Linked DNA regions of Drosophila melanogaster. The protein of the gene in region 1 purifies or fractionates together with the protein of each later gene. This does not show direct contact. Each region holds a gene or a part of one and is shown on either strand. Other genes may lie near its edges.

Region 1 (7,604 bases):
CTCTTTGTTGCCAGAATTTATACGACCAAGTCTTGCAGCTAGATGCGCACGCTCTCTGATAACAGCGGTAACCGTATTTCCAGCCCGAGATGCCCCACAGCTACAGCCAAGCTATAATATATAGCTGCATATATAGGAAGTCTGAGTGACAAGAAAAAGTGCACGACAACGATATAACTTTATCGCCGCTGCGCGGTTCACTTCTGTTGTTTGTCGCAGGTGAGTATTTTGCGTCGACTTCTTGTTTTTCACATACTTATGAGTGTGTATGCATGGCAAAAATGGCATGTGAGCTGGCCAGCAGCGTGATATCTTCTTCTGGTTTCTCACTGCCACAAAAGCGAAACTGGCCAAAAAGTCACATACGAAGTGCTGGCCACATCAGCGTCACCATCACCATCCGGCACCAGATGACGTTATGTTACCACATATATGTACAAGTGTATATTTCCGTCATACGAAAGATACTTTTCCATAACTCTAATTTCACCCAATTGCGTTTCTAACATGTTTGACTTCTAAAAATCTAACATTTTGGTCTGTTCCTCACATGACTTCATATATACTTCAACTGAATGTGCATTCATGCCTGTTTCCATATGCATATGCAAAACACGTTTTCAATTTAAATAATAACATAGGGAAAACAAACGAAAAAAGCTAAAAGTATAGATGCGAATTACCAGAAAATAGTCGAGTAAAACGCGATCGGCAATGTGCGGGTGCGTTGGGTCCGCTGCCTCCCACCGATGTATTTATAATTTCCCGCCGTACCTAACGTAACGCTGCTGCTCCGCTTGCCACTCTCCTTAACCCTTCATGGTGCACTGCAACTTGGGGGTTGCTGAGTCAGCAGAGGCAGCCCTGAACACAAAAAAAAAATAGACACTTACGAAGCATTTGAGGCTGTTTCTGTTTCTGTGGGCTCCAGTTTGGGTTTCGTTCGGGGGTTTCTATGTCACGGGATGGCTTTGGGTTACCCCGGCTCCCAAACAGTCACACACTCGAAAGGTATCCTCTCACCGAAAGCAATAGAGCTTGCAACCCGAGCACCCAAAACAAGCTAGAAAAATGCGCTACAATGGCAATTTGCCTTTACTGTTTTTTTTTTTTTTGGTTTTGGCTCTGAAGAGTCGCCGCGAGTTTCGACTGTTCAATCAAATGCGGGTCGCGCCCCCTTTTTTGTTTGGCTTTTAGGAGCTAGCTTGCCACAGTCTGTGGCACGTGCTGGTTTTAGGCCAAATGTGGCAGCAACCTGGACACGTGCAACACTAGCTCACGCATGCTGGTCGGAAAAACTAACAAAGAAACTAAGTGAACCATTTAGATTTCCTGCATCTGGTGGGGAAGTCGGTGCTGCCCGGACTAGGATCCAAAGGGGAAAACTCATGAGTCAGACAAGCCATGCGTCAATAATTAAGACATTGCATATTCTTGTTTACGAAATTCGAGCGGCAATTTGTGTATATTCTGCTGAGTTCGAGTTTGCAGATGATTTCACAGAGGCGACGCTATAAAATGCCAAGTGCAAAGCCTCTTTATTTGTTGTCTCACATTGTTTACTTTGATCGTGGACAAGGTTAGTTTTCCTAATAGAAGCCGAACAATATTCCTAAATAATCGGAAAGATGACAAGATTTATGTTAAATGGAGTATGTTAAAATAATAATCAATCCCTGAACTTTATATAAATAAACTTTAAGTAGCATCTCTGAAGGTAAAAGTAACATTCTTGAATATTAAATAAAATTTCCTAAGATCGGCAGGACGAATATTTTGTCGAAAAATTTTCTATACGTTAAGCTACTTTTCTAAACCAAAAGTCCTGCCCCACTGACTTTGCTCCCACGCAGGGCGTCATGCGTGGAATGCTCCTCATATGAGACATCTGCGGAGGCTTCACAACTGTGTTTTGTTTATGTTTTTGTTGTCCCGCTGGAAACACATTCTTGGAGCAGAACTAACTTGGTGGCTAGATGAAAGTGGAACAGATTTTCGCATTCCGCATATTGAGTAAACCACCTGGGAATGCCATAACGCCATAACCATAACCGACTGTATTTGGGTATGGATTTGGGATTGCGAGAGACGGTGGAAAAGAGGAGACCGAAGTCCGAGCTTTGGAACCAATACCCACAATGGGCGCTTCTGTTCGGTTCGTCACTCCGCCCGAGCAAATCGCGCCAAGGCGGGAGAAATATGAATCAGCCGGCGCGGTTCTCTGTTAGGTGATCGCTGATCGCTGATCGGAGCTCCGATCATGACTTTTAACGGTGTCGCCAAGCGGTCGAAAGGCACGTGCGCTCGCCCGCTTCGTGATAGTGAGCTCATTACAGTGCTCCGCGGCAAGACTCACCTGTTCTGCAAGCTGCTGCCGAGCTGGGCGGCCGCAAAGTAGGCGTCATTCTCCGGCGAGAGGCTATCACGCTGGGTGGCGCTGGTCAGCTGGGTGAAGCTCTGCAGGGTGGACAGTGCGTGCGAGGACGACGGGGAGTCCCCGCCCGCCGAACTGGTGGAGTTGTTGTGGTGGTGATGATGTTGTTGCTGCTGCTGCTGCTGCTGTTGCTGGTGGTAAAGTTGTTGCTGCTGCTGCTGATGGTGATGCAGTTGCTGCTGGTGATGGTGCTGCTGCTGGTGGAGTTGCTCGTGGGTGAGGGCATAGGGACTGGAGTCCTTTAGCGTATGCATATCGGACACGGAGGTCAGCACATGGTAATCGGTGCTGTGGCCATCCTCGAAGCACTCGTCCTTCAGCGTGTCCTGGATGACCTCGTCTATGTTGGGTGTGGTGCCCTGGGCCACTGCTGCTGCCGCTGCCGCCGCCGCTGCCAAATGCTCGTGGCTAGTCATGCCCACGCCCACTCCGCCACCGCCTCCGGTGTAGACGCTGTAGAACGCAAAGTTGTTCCGCATTATGGGATCCGTGCTGGGGTAGTGCTCGTAGAGCTGGGTAGGCGTATGATGGCTGGGCGGATAGGAGAACTGCCCGAAGAGGTGGGGATGCGATGCTGCTGCCGCTGCCGCCGCTGCTGCTGCCGCTGATCCGCTGGTCAGGTCATAGGCCAGCCAACTGGCCTGGTGTTGCTCCTGCACCACCTGCTGATGCTGTTGCTGCTGCGCCTGCTGATGCTGTTCCTGCTGATGGTGGCTTATTAATTGCTGGCTGAGAAACTGTTGCTGTTGCTCGTAGATCTGGGCTTGTTGCTGCTGCTGTTGCTGTTGATCCTCAGACTGATGGTAGCTTATCACTTTTGTTTTAACACTTTCACTCGCGTCGTTCTGCGCTTTACTATTATTATTATTATTGTTAGTATTTATCGCACTTGGATCGTCATCGATCGCTGCTTCAGATGTTGCTGCTGTGTCGCTTGCTGTTGCGGTTGCTATTTCTGTTGCTGCTGTAACTGTTGATGTTGATGTTGCCGACGCGTTTGCTGTGGTAACCGCTTGCCTTGCTGTTTCGCTGACAACTGAAGTGAGAGCCTGCGAGCGAGCGGACTCAAGTGACGATAAATTCGCTGCGGCGGCCGTTGCTGCCGCAGTCGGCGTCGCTGCTTCTCCGTTCTCCGTTTCGATCGCTATTTCCGTCTCATTCGCTGCTGCATTTGATCCTGTTGCTCCCGCTGTTGTTGTTGCCGCTAAGGCTGATGCTGTTGTTGTAGCTGCTAATGCTGTCGCCGCTCGTCCTGCCTGCCGCTTGTTGTTGTTGGACTTGGCCGTGCGGATCTTACTGTCCGCCGCATTCGAAAGCAGACTACCGCCGCCCGCCTTGGTCACCGAACCCAATCCCGATCCCGACCCTATAACCGCCCCTCCCGCCGCTGCCTTCTCCTTGGGCTTTGTCGTTTTCGTCATGATTCCGGCGCTCCACACGATTATCCGGATTCTCCGCCGCAATCCACGTACGTGTCCGTATCCGGCGCGATTTTCACAGAAACTGATTTGATTTGAGCGGCTTGCGGTTCGAACTTCGAAATACGGAACAGCAAAGCAACACGAAAAAATAAAGCTCGTTAAAAATGTTTTTTTTAGAAAACCAAATCGAGAACAAATCTCATCGAGCATCCTCTCTCCCTCTCGCCATCTCTGTCCATTGATTACAGTTGCGTTTGCTTAGCACTTTGCTCTACATGCCGTTACACGAGCGCCACTCGTAATCGTAATCGCATGTTGGTGCACAGAAATAAAAATGACGATCATCTTAATTTCTATCCTTGTCCTAAGATCACTATTTATTAAGTTAAGTTTGGTTTATCTAAAGAAATAAATAAATACATATAGTAAATGTAGTAAACATGTAGTAAATCTATTCATTTATTTCTTTGGATAAAGCAAACTTAAGATAAAATATATAATAATAATACATTGAAATATATAATAAAATATAAAAATATAATATGACTAATAAACGGAATAGGAAATTAGATCTTTTATTTCATAAATTATATATACACATTAAATATACATTAAATACACATATGACTAAATTTATGACATAGTTTTTAGATTTTCAAGATTTCAACAAGGATCAAATTCATTTCGAAAACATGAATATTTTCGTCTCGTGTACAGCTTTAAATATTTCGAAATATTCGATGCGAGCTCCACGCTCCCGCACTCGCCTACTCACTCTTTCTCTTTTTGTGGATCCCTCTCTTTGGCTCCTCTCTTCCTTCGCTTACTATTCGCTTGTGCTTGCGCCTAATGCCTGCCTTATCGCACTTACTGCCTCCGCTTTGTGCTGCGTTGCTCCGCCTCTCACTACATCAGCAGCAACAACAGGCGCGGAAAGTTGAAGAAGGGGTGGGTGGGGGCAGGCCGAGGTAGAGGCCATGCCGGAACGTGTTGTTGTTGTAGCTGGGGCGGCCTCTACTGTTGCTCGATTGGTGTTGTTGTGGTCGCTGTTATTGTGGTTGGTTGACTGTCGACTACCAGCGACCGCAAAAAAGTACACACAAAATCTGGAAATTAAATGAAAAAACAATCCATGTATATTAAGAAACGTTTAAAATGTAAGCTAAGTTTAAAGGAATTTGAAAAATGTAACATTTCTTACTGAAAATTTCTATTTAAATGAATATTTGAAATGTAGAAGTATAAAGCAACAATGAAGTTTAATTAAAAATATAGTAAACATTTTCAAAAACAGAATCATTAACATATATGCATAATACCAACGGTCTAATTTGTACGGATTCGAATTATTAACAGCATAGATTAAAAATTTTGTATATGAATATGAACATGAATATAAAAATAAACAAAGAAAATATATGTTTATATAGTTTTAAGAAAATCAAAAACGTTAAAACAGTAATTAAAATAAGATACATTTATAAAAGGTACTCAATATGTAAGGCTAAATGTTCTGATTGCGTTTTGGGCAAACCCAATAATTTCATTAAACTTCAAATATAATAGCATACCAGAATTAAAAAAAACTCCCTTCACTTTAGCCCATTACTTTCGTCTCAATACTCTTCACGGTTAGTTCTTCAATTCAATCGTGAAATTTACGCATAAATCAGAACGCCTTCTGAGAGACCCAATATGAAATTTCTCAAAATTTTCAAATTACCATGCGCATAGGACTGGGGCTCCAGGATCCAGATCCAGACACATTCATGCCTATCGCGAGGACGAGAACATTAAAATCCAACCGAGACGCGTGTAGAATTTCAGGACAAATCTCGTGGCGCGACAAGTGAACGTGAGAAAAATGATGGGGAAAGACTTTCCCCAGGAGTCCGTCTGCATTTGGCCCATGCAAATTCCCGAGACGTCGCGCCAAAATACATAAAAACAATGCACTTGAGCTCCGTTCCAATGGCTGATTAAAAAATTGTTACATTTGAACCAGGACGAGTCGTAAAACGATTTTCGAGTGGGATCTTGGGAGGCTCGGGCGGTATTTTTATGGCATTTTTATCGTCATTTGAATAGGCGGCACCAACGATCTGTTTGGACATTTTGGGAACATTTTAACGATCGTTGATCAATTGGTGTACATAGTGGGCGACACACACAAGTGCTTCGCTTCCAAAACCAAAACCAGAACCAGAATCGAATTCGATTTTGAATGCTGCATAGAACGCCGAATACAGGCGACATGCGCACTCGTACATAGACATAAATCGCTTAACCTTTGTCGGTATTAAAATCACATAAGTGTACGTTATTAAATATACGAAAAATCGAAAATGTTGATAAGGTGTTCTTGGCATCGCTGCGAAGTCGTGCTGAAGTGGGGAACTAGACCGGACCTTTCCCTAGACACATGGGGACTAAGGTTGACGCCTCTCCGCGATCGCCTCATTTATTCATATTTATATATTTTTCAAATAATTTATTCACATGTTTTTCTGTTCGCCTTCGGTTGGCCCAACACTCTCGATCGGAATCGGACGAATTTCAATTTTACTACGAAAGCAAAAACAAGTATTTCGAAATGTTCAATTCGAGCTCATTGGCTGCATGTGCCTGGGATCCATAATGGAACTTTAACCTTGAAATTATTAAATGCCAACTTTGAAACACTGGCACTGACGTCACATGGGGGATCAACTCAATATAGCATGCGATTCGCGCATGTCTAGAACCTAAATTAGCCAATTAATTGCATTTGAAACCAGAAAATGTTTAAACATGTTCGTTTCAACATAGATCACTAATAAAATAAATATGCATTCCATGTAGTCTCCTTTAAAGCGAGTTAGAAAAGATCAGCTGTAGTTTAAAGTCAACTAAACGTGTTTACTATCTGGATCTTGTATAAAGAAGCTATTACACACTTGTGACTTTCTCACACTTTAATTCAGTATTTACCTAGCCGAGCTCCCCATCCGATTTGACCCTCTTTTGCCTGTGACCCCAAGCTGGCAATGTTATGCTTAGTTAGGTCTGATAAGTCGGGCTTCTATAAACGAAATGCATTGAGTACACATGCAAATAACGGTAGGCGGCCTTAAAGCCACTAGACTATGGTGAAGAACTACGCATTTAAATGTGAGTCAGGGCTGAGTGCCCCGCCCTTCGAAAAGATCCGCAGATCGGACAATTCAGATGAGTGTGTGGGGGATTCGGAGGAGCATGTGCAGTGTCAACAAACATGAGGATCTTGCTCCAGAGCGATCTCCCGAAACGATAAATCACTAGGAGATGCTATGCTAATGATGTGATTTATTACAAGTCCTTGGGAAAGGATAATCTTGTGGGTCTGCGGGCTAGGAGGTGCCCTTTTTCACACTCGATCTCCGATTGTCAATGGGCCGTGGCACAGCTCTCTGATTTTTGTTGGCGGAGGGGGGGAGGTTACCTATCGAATAGCCATTGTTTATGGCGAAAAGTCGTTTAATAAGTTTTGTACGATACATTGGGACATTAGTAAATCCACTGAGGTCCAATTCAAACAGAACATTCTTATTTGTATATCCCACGAGACCAAAGTGAAACGCACACGTACTCACGAAATCCAGGGTTTAATGCCACTAAGTTTGGCTTCAAACTATTTTGACATATTTATGGTGGCCGAAAATGGGTTACCCGGGGCAGGTTCCCCGCTCCACTCCCCTCAAACAAGTGTCAAGCGTGGCGAGTGTCTCACA
Region 2 (8,753 bases), on another chromosome or scaffold:
GTTTTTAGAGCTGGTACAAGAATCGATGTTTAACTGAAACTATCGATAAGCCAACAGCTTAGTACTGATTTGGGGTGACCAGATTCAATGCAATTTTGAATCAATGACGATTGACAATCGATAGCACTTTAAGCAAATACAAGAGTAGGTACAAAGTTAGGCAAATTAAAACCATAAACATATATTAAACTGCATATGAAAAAGTAAAACCATATCCATTAATCAATTTTAGATGAATAATTTAAAGACTTTGGCGGTGAGACAGATTTTTGGACATTGCCAAACCGAACCACACCGTTTATTGCCTTTATAAATCAGTATTCTTTTAAAAAACCTCATTATTAAGAAGTGCAATGGATCTAACACACGCATCGCAATTTTTAAAAACAAAAAATAAATACATATTCCTTAATGTTGTCGAAATCAGTTGTAAAGTAAACTTCCACATACCTGTCATCTAGCTAGATTCGACAGCACTGCCGCATTAATCGAAACCGATAGGAGCTCTCATCAAGTAGCAACCCTATAGAGACGCCGGGACTTGGTGTAAAGAAAAAACGAAAAAGATTTGTCTTTTTAAGCGCCGCAAAGAATCCGGAAAAACGTGAATATACCACCGAAAACGGATCTCCGGTAAGTTGAAAATGACTGGGATTAGGTTGTGCGTACAATGGAATAACTGAAAATGCCCACAATGTGACCCGCAGGCTGAAACCCCTACGTGTAGCGCAGGAAAACGAGGAACACCACGAACCAAGATGTCGGACATCTCCAGCGAGGACCTGCGTCGTGAAATTCAGGCGGTTCTGAAGGACGCCGATTTGGCGACCATTTCGGCAAAGAGGGTGCGCGAGCAGGTGGAGGGAAAGCTGAACTGCTCGTTGCTGAGCCGCAAGAAGGAGTTCGACAAGATCGTGATGGAGGTGATCAACGAGCAGCAGGACGAGGAGGACGAAGACGATGACGAGGGCAAGGATCCCGATGCCGATCCCGACGATGAGAGCGAGCCCAGCGAGGAGGAGGACCCCAGCAGCAGCGAGGAGGAGGCCGCCAAGAAGAAGAAGCAGAGCCCCAAGAAGAGGCCACAGCCCACGAAGCACAAGGCGCCCAAGAAGAAGCGCAAGACCCTAAATGCCGACGATTCCGGCACCGAGAGCGATGCCGGCTCGGACTCGGACTACGAGGTGGTCAAGAAGCCGGCGGCCAAGAAGAAGGCCAAGGCGGCCGGGGGAACAGGATCGGGACGTAAGAGCACCGGCTTCACACGCGCATACAATCTATCACCGGAACTGAGCGCCCTCATGGGAGAGTCCTCCCTGCCGCGCCACGAAGTCGTGAAGAAGGTGTGGGCCATCATCAAGGAGCGCGATTTGTACGACCCCAAGAACAAGCAGTTCGCCATTTGCGACGACGAGCTGATGAAGGTGATGAAGATCCGCCGCTTCCGCACCTTTGGCATGCTGAAGCATCTCAAGCCGCACTTTCTCGATTAGATCAGATCCGCCCTCCGATCCTCTCCAGATGCAAATATATGTGTATGCCTCTCCGCCAGCCTGGTTTACCAATCCCCTGTAACTTTCGGCTCCGCCTGGATTTGTTTGTTCCACAACCTTTGATTAAGATTTAGTTGACGCATGTGTTTAGCATTACCCTAATTAGGACGGGTTTGCACATTATGCACTTTACGGCATTTTAGGAATAGTTCAGATGAACGGAAAATTACAAAAAAAAAATCGATTATAATACATAATGTGTATGATTTTTTTTATGACAAACTCGTGTAGTTTACATTTTATAAAATATCAAAGAAAAACATAACAAGTTTAAGGCAAGTACCGAGTAATAAAAAGAGAAATAGACGAGTGATGCATCTGAAAAATACGAAAGCAACTTTTCCTGGTTTTCATTTCGACGGGGCTGCTGGGGGAGAAATCAATCAGTGGAACAGATCTAATTGCTCAATAAAGAATCCCTTTTTTATTGTTTTGCGTTTCTCACAAATTTCTTACAAACATTTTTCACTTTTTCTAATATACATATTAGGTGTATATGCAGTGTATATATATATATAATTCTCGATCTGATATATATGCCAGCGTGTATATAATTGAATAAATGGAATACCTTGCACTGCTGTTCCATTAACGCTCTCGGGACGAAACGAAAGTACAAAAGTATAATCATAATCATAAGCGGGGGCCATAAACATTAACAAATTAAGTACGTAAACAATACGAGAGGTTAAATCGATCACTTATTGCCCAGCTGTCGTAGCTCAAAAAAGGGATTAGTCAGGAAAGTCGTTAACATTAAAATGTACATGGATTTCACGCGAAAAAGTTATAGAAATGTAATGCAAATATGCTAGAAACCATTATACAAGTCAATTCCCATTAAATATATTATCAATTCCGAATTAGAAGTATACATTTAGAGAACTAATCGCGTCTTTTGAGCTACTGCAGTCTGATTGACAGGCGTTCGAAGTATTTAAAATAAATTCAAGTAACTGGCTACAAAAAATGTTGATGGGGATAAATTCTTGGGGCAAGATTAGTTTTGGGGATTAGAGAGTCATGTTGGATAGGTGAACGGAGAGAATACTCCTGCGGCTAAAGCGAGTGCTAAATACTATGTCGAAGACTTTAAATGCTAACGAAAAGCAACCAAGAATTCCGCTCGAGCTAAACTAAGCAATACAATGGTAATAGTAACTTTGTGTTCTCCTTTCCGTATCCTTTTGTGTTTTCCGTGTGTGTGTGTGTCAACAATTGTTTTAAATAGTTTTACTTCTTCGCAAAGACAATACTTTCGTTGGCGTTGTTGTTTCTTCTAATTGCTGGTGTTATTGTCCGCATCCGCCCGCCTTGCGTCCTAGTAGCGGTAGTAGTTGGGCTTGAAAGGACCGGCCTTGTTCAGTCCCATGTACTTGGCCTGCTCGTCGCTCAGCTCCGTCAAATGGGCATCGAAGGTGGGCAGGTGCAGGCTGGCAACATACTCGTCCATCTTCTTGGGCAGCAAGTAGACATCCGACTTGTAGCGTCCGGGCGGGGCATTGAAAAGCTCGATCAGGGCCAGGGCCTGGGTGGCCGAGGTGATAGACACGGCGAACGAGGGGATGCTGGAGCAGCTCAGATTGACCAGCCTGCCCTCGGCCAGAAGAATGATGTACTTGCCCTCCGGCCAGATAATGTGATCCACCTGGGAGCGCACCTTCTCCCAGGTCAAGTCCGGTGTGCGCAGGCCATTCACATCGATTTCCGTGTTCGAGTGGCCCATGTTGCATACGATGCAGCCACTCTTCATCTTGTCCATGTGCTCGCGCACCACCACGTTCTTGTTGCCGGTCGCCGTCACCACAATGTCTACGTTGCGGATCACCTCGTTCAGCTTGACCACACGGAAGCCATCCATACTGGCCTGCAGGGCGCAAATGGGATCGATCTCTGTGATGTACACAATGCAGCCCTACGATTGGAGATTGAAAAGGTGACAAAGGTATATCATACTAATGGTTGTGGGTGCCATTTACCTGCCCCTTTAGAGCCTGAGCACATCCCTTGCCCACATCGCCGTAGCCACAGACCACGACCTGCTTGCCACCGAACATCACGTCCGTGGAGCGCTTGAGGCTGTCCAGGATGGATTCCTTGCAGCTGTAGAGGTTGTCAAATTTGGTCTTTGTCACCGAATCGTTGACATTCATCGCCGGCACTGTCAGCTTGCCGGCCTTAGAGAGCTGATAGAGACGGTGCACTCCGGTGACGCTCTCCTCGACGATTCCCTTGACCAACTTGAACATGGTCGGGTACTTTTTTAGCATCAAGTGCGTGGCATCGCCGCCATCGTCCAGGATCATGTTTGGCTGCCAGTTCTCGGCGTTAACGCAGCGATCTATGCACCACCAGAAGTCCTCTTCCGTCTCGCCGCGCCAGGCAAAGATCGGGATTCCGGATTCGGCCAAAGCAGCAGCCACTTCGTTCTAAAAATAATAAGCAACGATATTGAGTTGTTTTAATAATGACAGTCCTTGAAGGCTAATAAAATGATTGTCAAACAGGTAAAACCCTCGAGAGTTGGCCTGATAAATCGAGTCACCCTAATGCGGCGTAAACATTTGCTAATATCTGACTTATATCGAGCTGATAACGCATCGGGCTCCATTCTCGCTAAGCACGGCACTCGTAGCTTGGCTGATAAGTCCCAGCCGATACAGGTGAATCAGCGTGACAGGCTGTCGGGGGCCGTGGGCGATAAAAGCTGGCACGGATGGGTGCATAAATGATCGGGGAAGGGCGCTCGCCCTCGCACTCGCATCGCTTCATTAGAGAAGCCATAAATTGTTTAGCGTCAGCAGACTCGTGATAATTGCATCAGCCACGCCGCAGGAATAGGCAAACAGATCGAGTAACCGCAGCCGATCCAATGCTGGAACTAAAACTGCGTCCGTAACTTCCACTCCCAATGGTATGGCGACCCAATTCAGGGCACATCAATTACTCAGCGATTGCCAAACACTTGAGCCGCGGGCGCTTAATTGATTAACATGGCTTGATTGATCATTTGTTTGCGTCGCCTGGCGTGACAACAATTGTCTCCAAGCGACCGAGCAGATCAAGTGACCGAGCACGCATATGCATATGAATTTAAATAAATATAGGAAAATGAGTTAAGATATCTCTTAAGAGATTCCATTAAATGCATTAAGCAGCCTATGAATACGTAAGAACCCTATGACATTTTCATACGACATCTCACCTGCGTGGAGTAGATGTTGCAGGCGGCCCAGCGCACGCTGGCGCCCAGTTCCACCAGCGTCTCGATGAGCACGGCAGTCTGGGCGTTGATGTGTGTGCAACCCACGATCTTGGCATCCTTCAGAGGCTTGTCCTCGGCCGCCCGCTTCTTCAGCGCTATGATGCCCGGCATCTCCTGCTCCGCAATCTCGATCTCCCTGCGCCCAAATGCATGCTGGGCGCCTATGTTCCTTACACAGAAATCGGAGCTGCCTTTGGAGTTCTTTTGGACCTTCTCCCTGGGCGGCACGTCGTCGCCATCCTCGCTGCTGCCCGTGTAGCTGGCGGAGCTGAAGGAATCCGTTGAGGAGGCACTAAGCGAGCGGCTCCTGTACCGACTTGTCTTCTTCAGAGCCGAGGACTGCTTGGTGGCCGGCGGAGGAACCACCACGCTGGCATCCTGCGGCGCCGGTCCAGCCTGCTGCTGCTTGTCGCCGCCTCCGAATCCAGGATCAACTACCACAGTGTCTGCCAGGTTGTTCATGGTGGAAGTAGAGGGTAATCTGGGGATTTCCTTACTATCCCTTAAATTGGCTCCTTGCTCTAGCTCCTAGTGTTCCACCTTCTGCGACTCCAGAGCTTGCAATCCTTTTCCGCTGCTCCTTTGAATGGGCGCCTTGGATGTTATGTAAAGTCTGAAATCCAAGCAGGATGCGCTGCAAATGGCTAGTGGTGTGGCCTGGGTCTATACGAACTGCACAATCACGTGATTTATCGACGTTGTGGAGACCACAAATTGCTAAATTAATTGTTTTTAGTGCGAGTCTCCTTTGTTTCACCTCTCCACTATTGTTTTTGTTCTTCTTCTTCTTTTGCGAATGGGGGGCTACACTTTGGATCCGGGGCTTGATGGGAGTTTCCGGAGAGGGGATGATGATGCAGCCGTCGGCTTTCGGGCGACGTTGTTTGTGTGGCGACCAAGTGGGGGATCGTTTGGCGATCGCTTATTGAATTTGATTTTATCCGGAGAAAAGAGAACTAAACCGAACCGAGGACAGTAAGCGAGACACGCGAAAATACCAAAAGCAGAAGGCGTTAGTGCTATTCTGCAAGTGTGGTAAGTTCCCACTGAAGAAAGGCCAAAGTAACGACTTTTTAACTGAAATCGTCTAAAAATTAATTTTTATAATTTCTTACCATTAATTATGTGTTTATTTTTTAATGAGCAAAGTAAATAAAGTGTGATTTACAACTCCTCAGCTGCAAGTCTTTTAAATCTGGTAGCTGGATAATTTAATGAGTCAAAAAGAAATTGGCAAAGTATTCGAGGTTTATTAAAAACAAATAGTTAACACATTTGGCCTACATATCCTCCTGTAGGTAGCCGCACAGCTCGTAGTCGTCCGCCGTGTTGACCAAGTGCGCTTCCCTAAGAAGGCCCTCCTTGTAGGTCTGTCTCTTGACAATCAAACGCGACAATTCCTCCGGTGCAAGTGGTCCTTGCTTGGCGTGTTTCTGGATGAAGTCCGCCGCCAGTTGTCGATCCACGACGGACATCTCGAGGCTGCGACTCCAGGCGAGCAGGGCCAGCGGTCGCTGCGGACTCAGAGCCAGCGAGGGTGACACCAGATGGCGATACAGACAGCCACCCACGATGTCTTGCAGCTGCTTCACTTGGCCGGGAAAAGCGCAGGGATGGTAGAGCATTACGATGGCACCTTCCGCCAGATTACGCACGTATCGCTGAGGAGGCAAGTAGGAATAGGTGCCATATTCAGCGGGCATCGGGCGATAGGGGCCACTGATAATACAGATTTGAATTTGAAATTAGCAGGAAACTATAATATTGTTCGCCTTACTTGGTGGCAGGCAGATGGGAGTAGCTAATGGACTCATTAAGGCACTTGGCAGGCGGCAGATAGGCGCTAGGTAGAAAGTGCTCCGTAAGAATGGCTTCTCTGGACAAATCCGGTTGGTACAAGCTGTGATTACTACTGATGCATAGGAAATTCAGGCTGTCACGGATGTCGTTTGGATCGAAGTCCACGGCAAGATTGCTCTGAAAATTGTTAATAACAATGATAGAAAAAGATGACTAATACTAAGCATTCATCGGTATTTAGGGGAAGTATTAGTTATATTGCCAAACTCACCTTGCCATCATCACAGCTGCTTTGTTTAGTCTTGTGCGATTCATTGGGACCCTGCGGAAACAATTTACCCTGCCAAGTATCCTGTGTGGTGGACTTCCCCGACTTGGTTTTGTTATCGACCAGCGGTTTTTTCTTCACCAAGTGCGGCTCTCCGGGAGCTTGTGGAAACCACTTGCCCTGCCAGCCATCCTTGGTTGTGAACTCCAGCGGAGGAACTTCCTCCGTGGTGCTCTTCATTTTTAATTCAATCGCTTCCTGCTGTTGTCCAGGGGCATGGGGAAACCACTTGCCCTGCCAGCCATTCTTGCCGGGCGTCGCACCTAATGGAACCTGCACACGTTGCACATCATTGGAAATGTCGGGTGGGGACTTCCCAATCTTCCCTAGCTTCTCATCAGGATCAAGAGTTGGCTCCAACAGATTGGCCTGCGACTTCTTGATGGATTTCGCATCGATGAGGGCGAACCCAAGGCACAAGAGGGTCAAGTAATGCCAAATAAACATAATAATTGCAAGCAAAAGAAAAACAAAAGCGCAAAATAAGCAAACAAAAATATAATTAAGAACTTGGCAAAACAGCTGTGGAGCTGCGTTTTTCAACACTGGTCAAAGCATGACTTTGTTGCAGGGTAGCAACAGGTTGTTTGGAGTTTGCATAAATCTCCGATGATAATTATGTGTTGTTTTAATAACTAAATTAAAATTATTTACGCCAAATTAAAGTAAATAAAGTTAATTTAAAATGACTACTTAAATCAAGCAGATTTAAAAGGAAATCAATGTATATTTGAAATATTCAGACTGGATTCTAAGGTTAAATGACAAATTACTCACCAGAAATCGGCTCATAATAATAAATCATTTTATTTTCAAATGCCCCCTGCGAACGCTCCCCCGCATTGCACACACCAGGGGGTATTTTACGAAGTGCCCACACCTGGCCACACTGGTCGCAGCTACAAAAAGAAGAAGAACAAGGGCCAACTTGATGGTCACTTGCTACTGCGCTTTATTAATTCATTATTTTCCAAAATAATGCACATATATACCCGCCCACAGCCGCTCTGCGCCCCCGCTAATCGAAAAATGTGAGTGGTAAGCGTTTTTACCAGAGTCTTATCAACAATTTAAGCCTCAATTCCCTTCCGTTTCCGTGATTCGCCACCCAGAAAACAATAACAAAGGGGTGTTGTTGTTGCTGTCGCTGCTGCTGCGCTGGAAAAACAACTCGCATAAAATTTTAAAACGCACAAAGAAGGCGAACGTGGAAAGTTAGGCCAACAACCCAGTCGCGATGTCGTGGTTCAATCCCTGGGATGGCCTCAAAACGAAAATGTGTCGCTACCTGCTGCAGCGATACCTGGGCCAGTTTTTCGAGAATAACTTGAACCTGGAGCAGCTGAAGGTGGACCTTTACAATGGCAAGGCTGTGGTGGAGGACATTTTCCTAAAGGTCAACGCCTTCAACGATCTCTTCGAGGACCAGGGCTGGGCCTTCGAGGTGGTCTCGGGCCACATTGGCCGCCTGACTGTCGTGGTGCCGTGGAATGCGCTGATGACCAACGACAGTAGCCTGGAGATCCACAATCTAACCATCACACTGAGGCCAGTCACACGCTACCAGAGCGGCACCACCATGCTGGAGTCCATGTGGTCGTCGGTGAGCAGCTCGATGCAAATGGCCGAGGAGTGCATGAAGCAGGTGGATGACGATGTGCCCTTCCTGAACCACAATAACGCCCTGATTGGGTTGGAGAAGTTCGCAGAGACCATCGACAACGTGCTCAACCGCATACGCGCCAAGCTGACAAATACTACTTTGAACATTGAGTACATACTGCCCAGATCGGACCGGAAGCTGGTG

The links. The genes of interacting proteins can lie anywhere in the genome.
Region 2: the proteins of srp (region 1) and AhcyL1 purify together in Drosophila melanogaster (affinity purification with mass spectrometry, with the first as the bait; one large-scale study listed by BioGRID). This does not show direct contact.

The regions. Positions count from the first base shown.
Region 1 is NT_033777.3:15,990,477-15,998,080, reverse strand, and holds the start of srp (serpent), read right to left. Parts: upstream 3,942-7,604; 5' UTR 3,856-3,941; coding exon 2,357-3,855; intron 1-2,356. UniProt on the Drosophila melanogaster protein: May function as a transcriptional activator protein and may play a key role in the organogenesis of the fat body. Binds a sequence element (5'-[TA]GATAA-3') found in the larval promoters of all known alcohol dehydrogenase (ADH) genes.
Region 2 is NT_037436.4:2,766,510-2,775,262, forward strand, and holds AhcyL1 (adenosylhomocysteinase like 1), read right to left. Parts: upstream 5,817-8,753; 5' UTR 5,281-5,816; coding exon 4,759-5,280; intron 3,983-4,758; coding exon 3,533-3,982; intron 3,469-3,532; coding exon 2,875-3,468; 3' UTR 1,957-2,874; downstream 1-1,956. Other genes in the region: Non2 (putative nucleolar protein 2), read left to right, coding at 759-1,493; CG12093 (uncharacterized protein), read right to left, coding at 6,099-6,537, 6,596-6,795, 6,890-7,393; Atg2 (Autophagy-related 2), read left to right, coding at 8,184-8,753. UniProt on the Drosophila melanogaster protein: Might play a role in the regulation of methionine metabolism possibly by binding and inactivating Ahcy.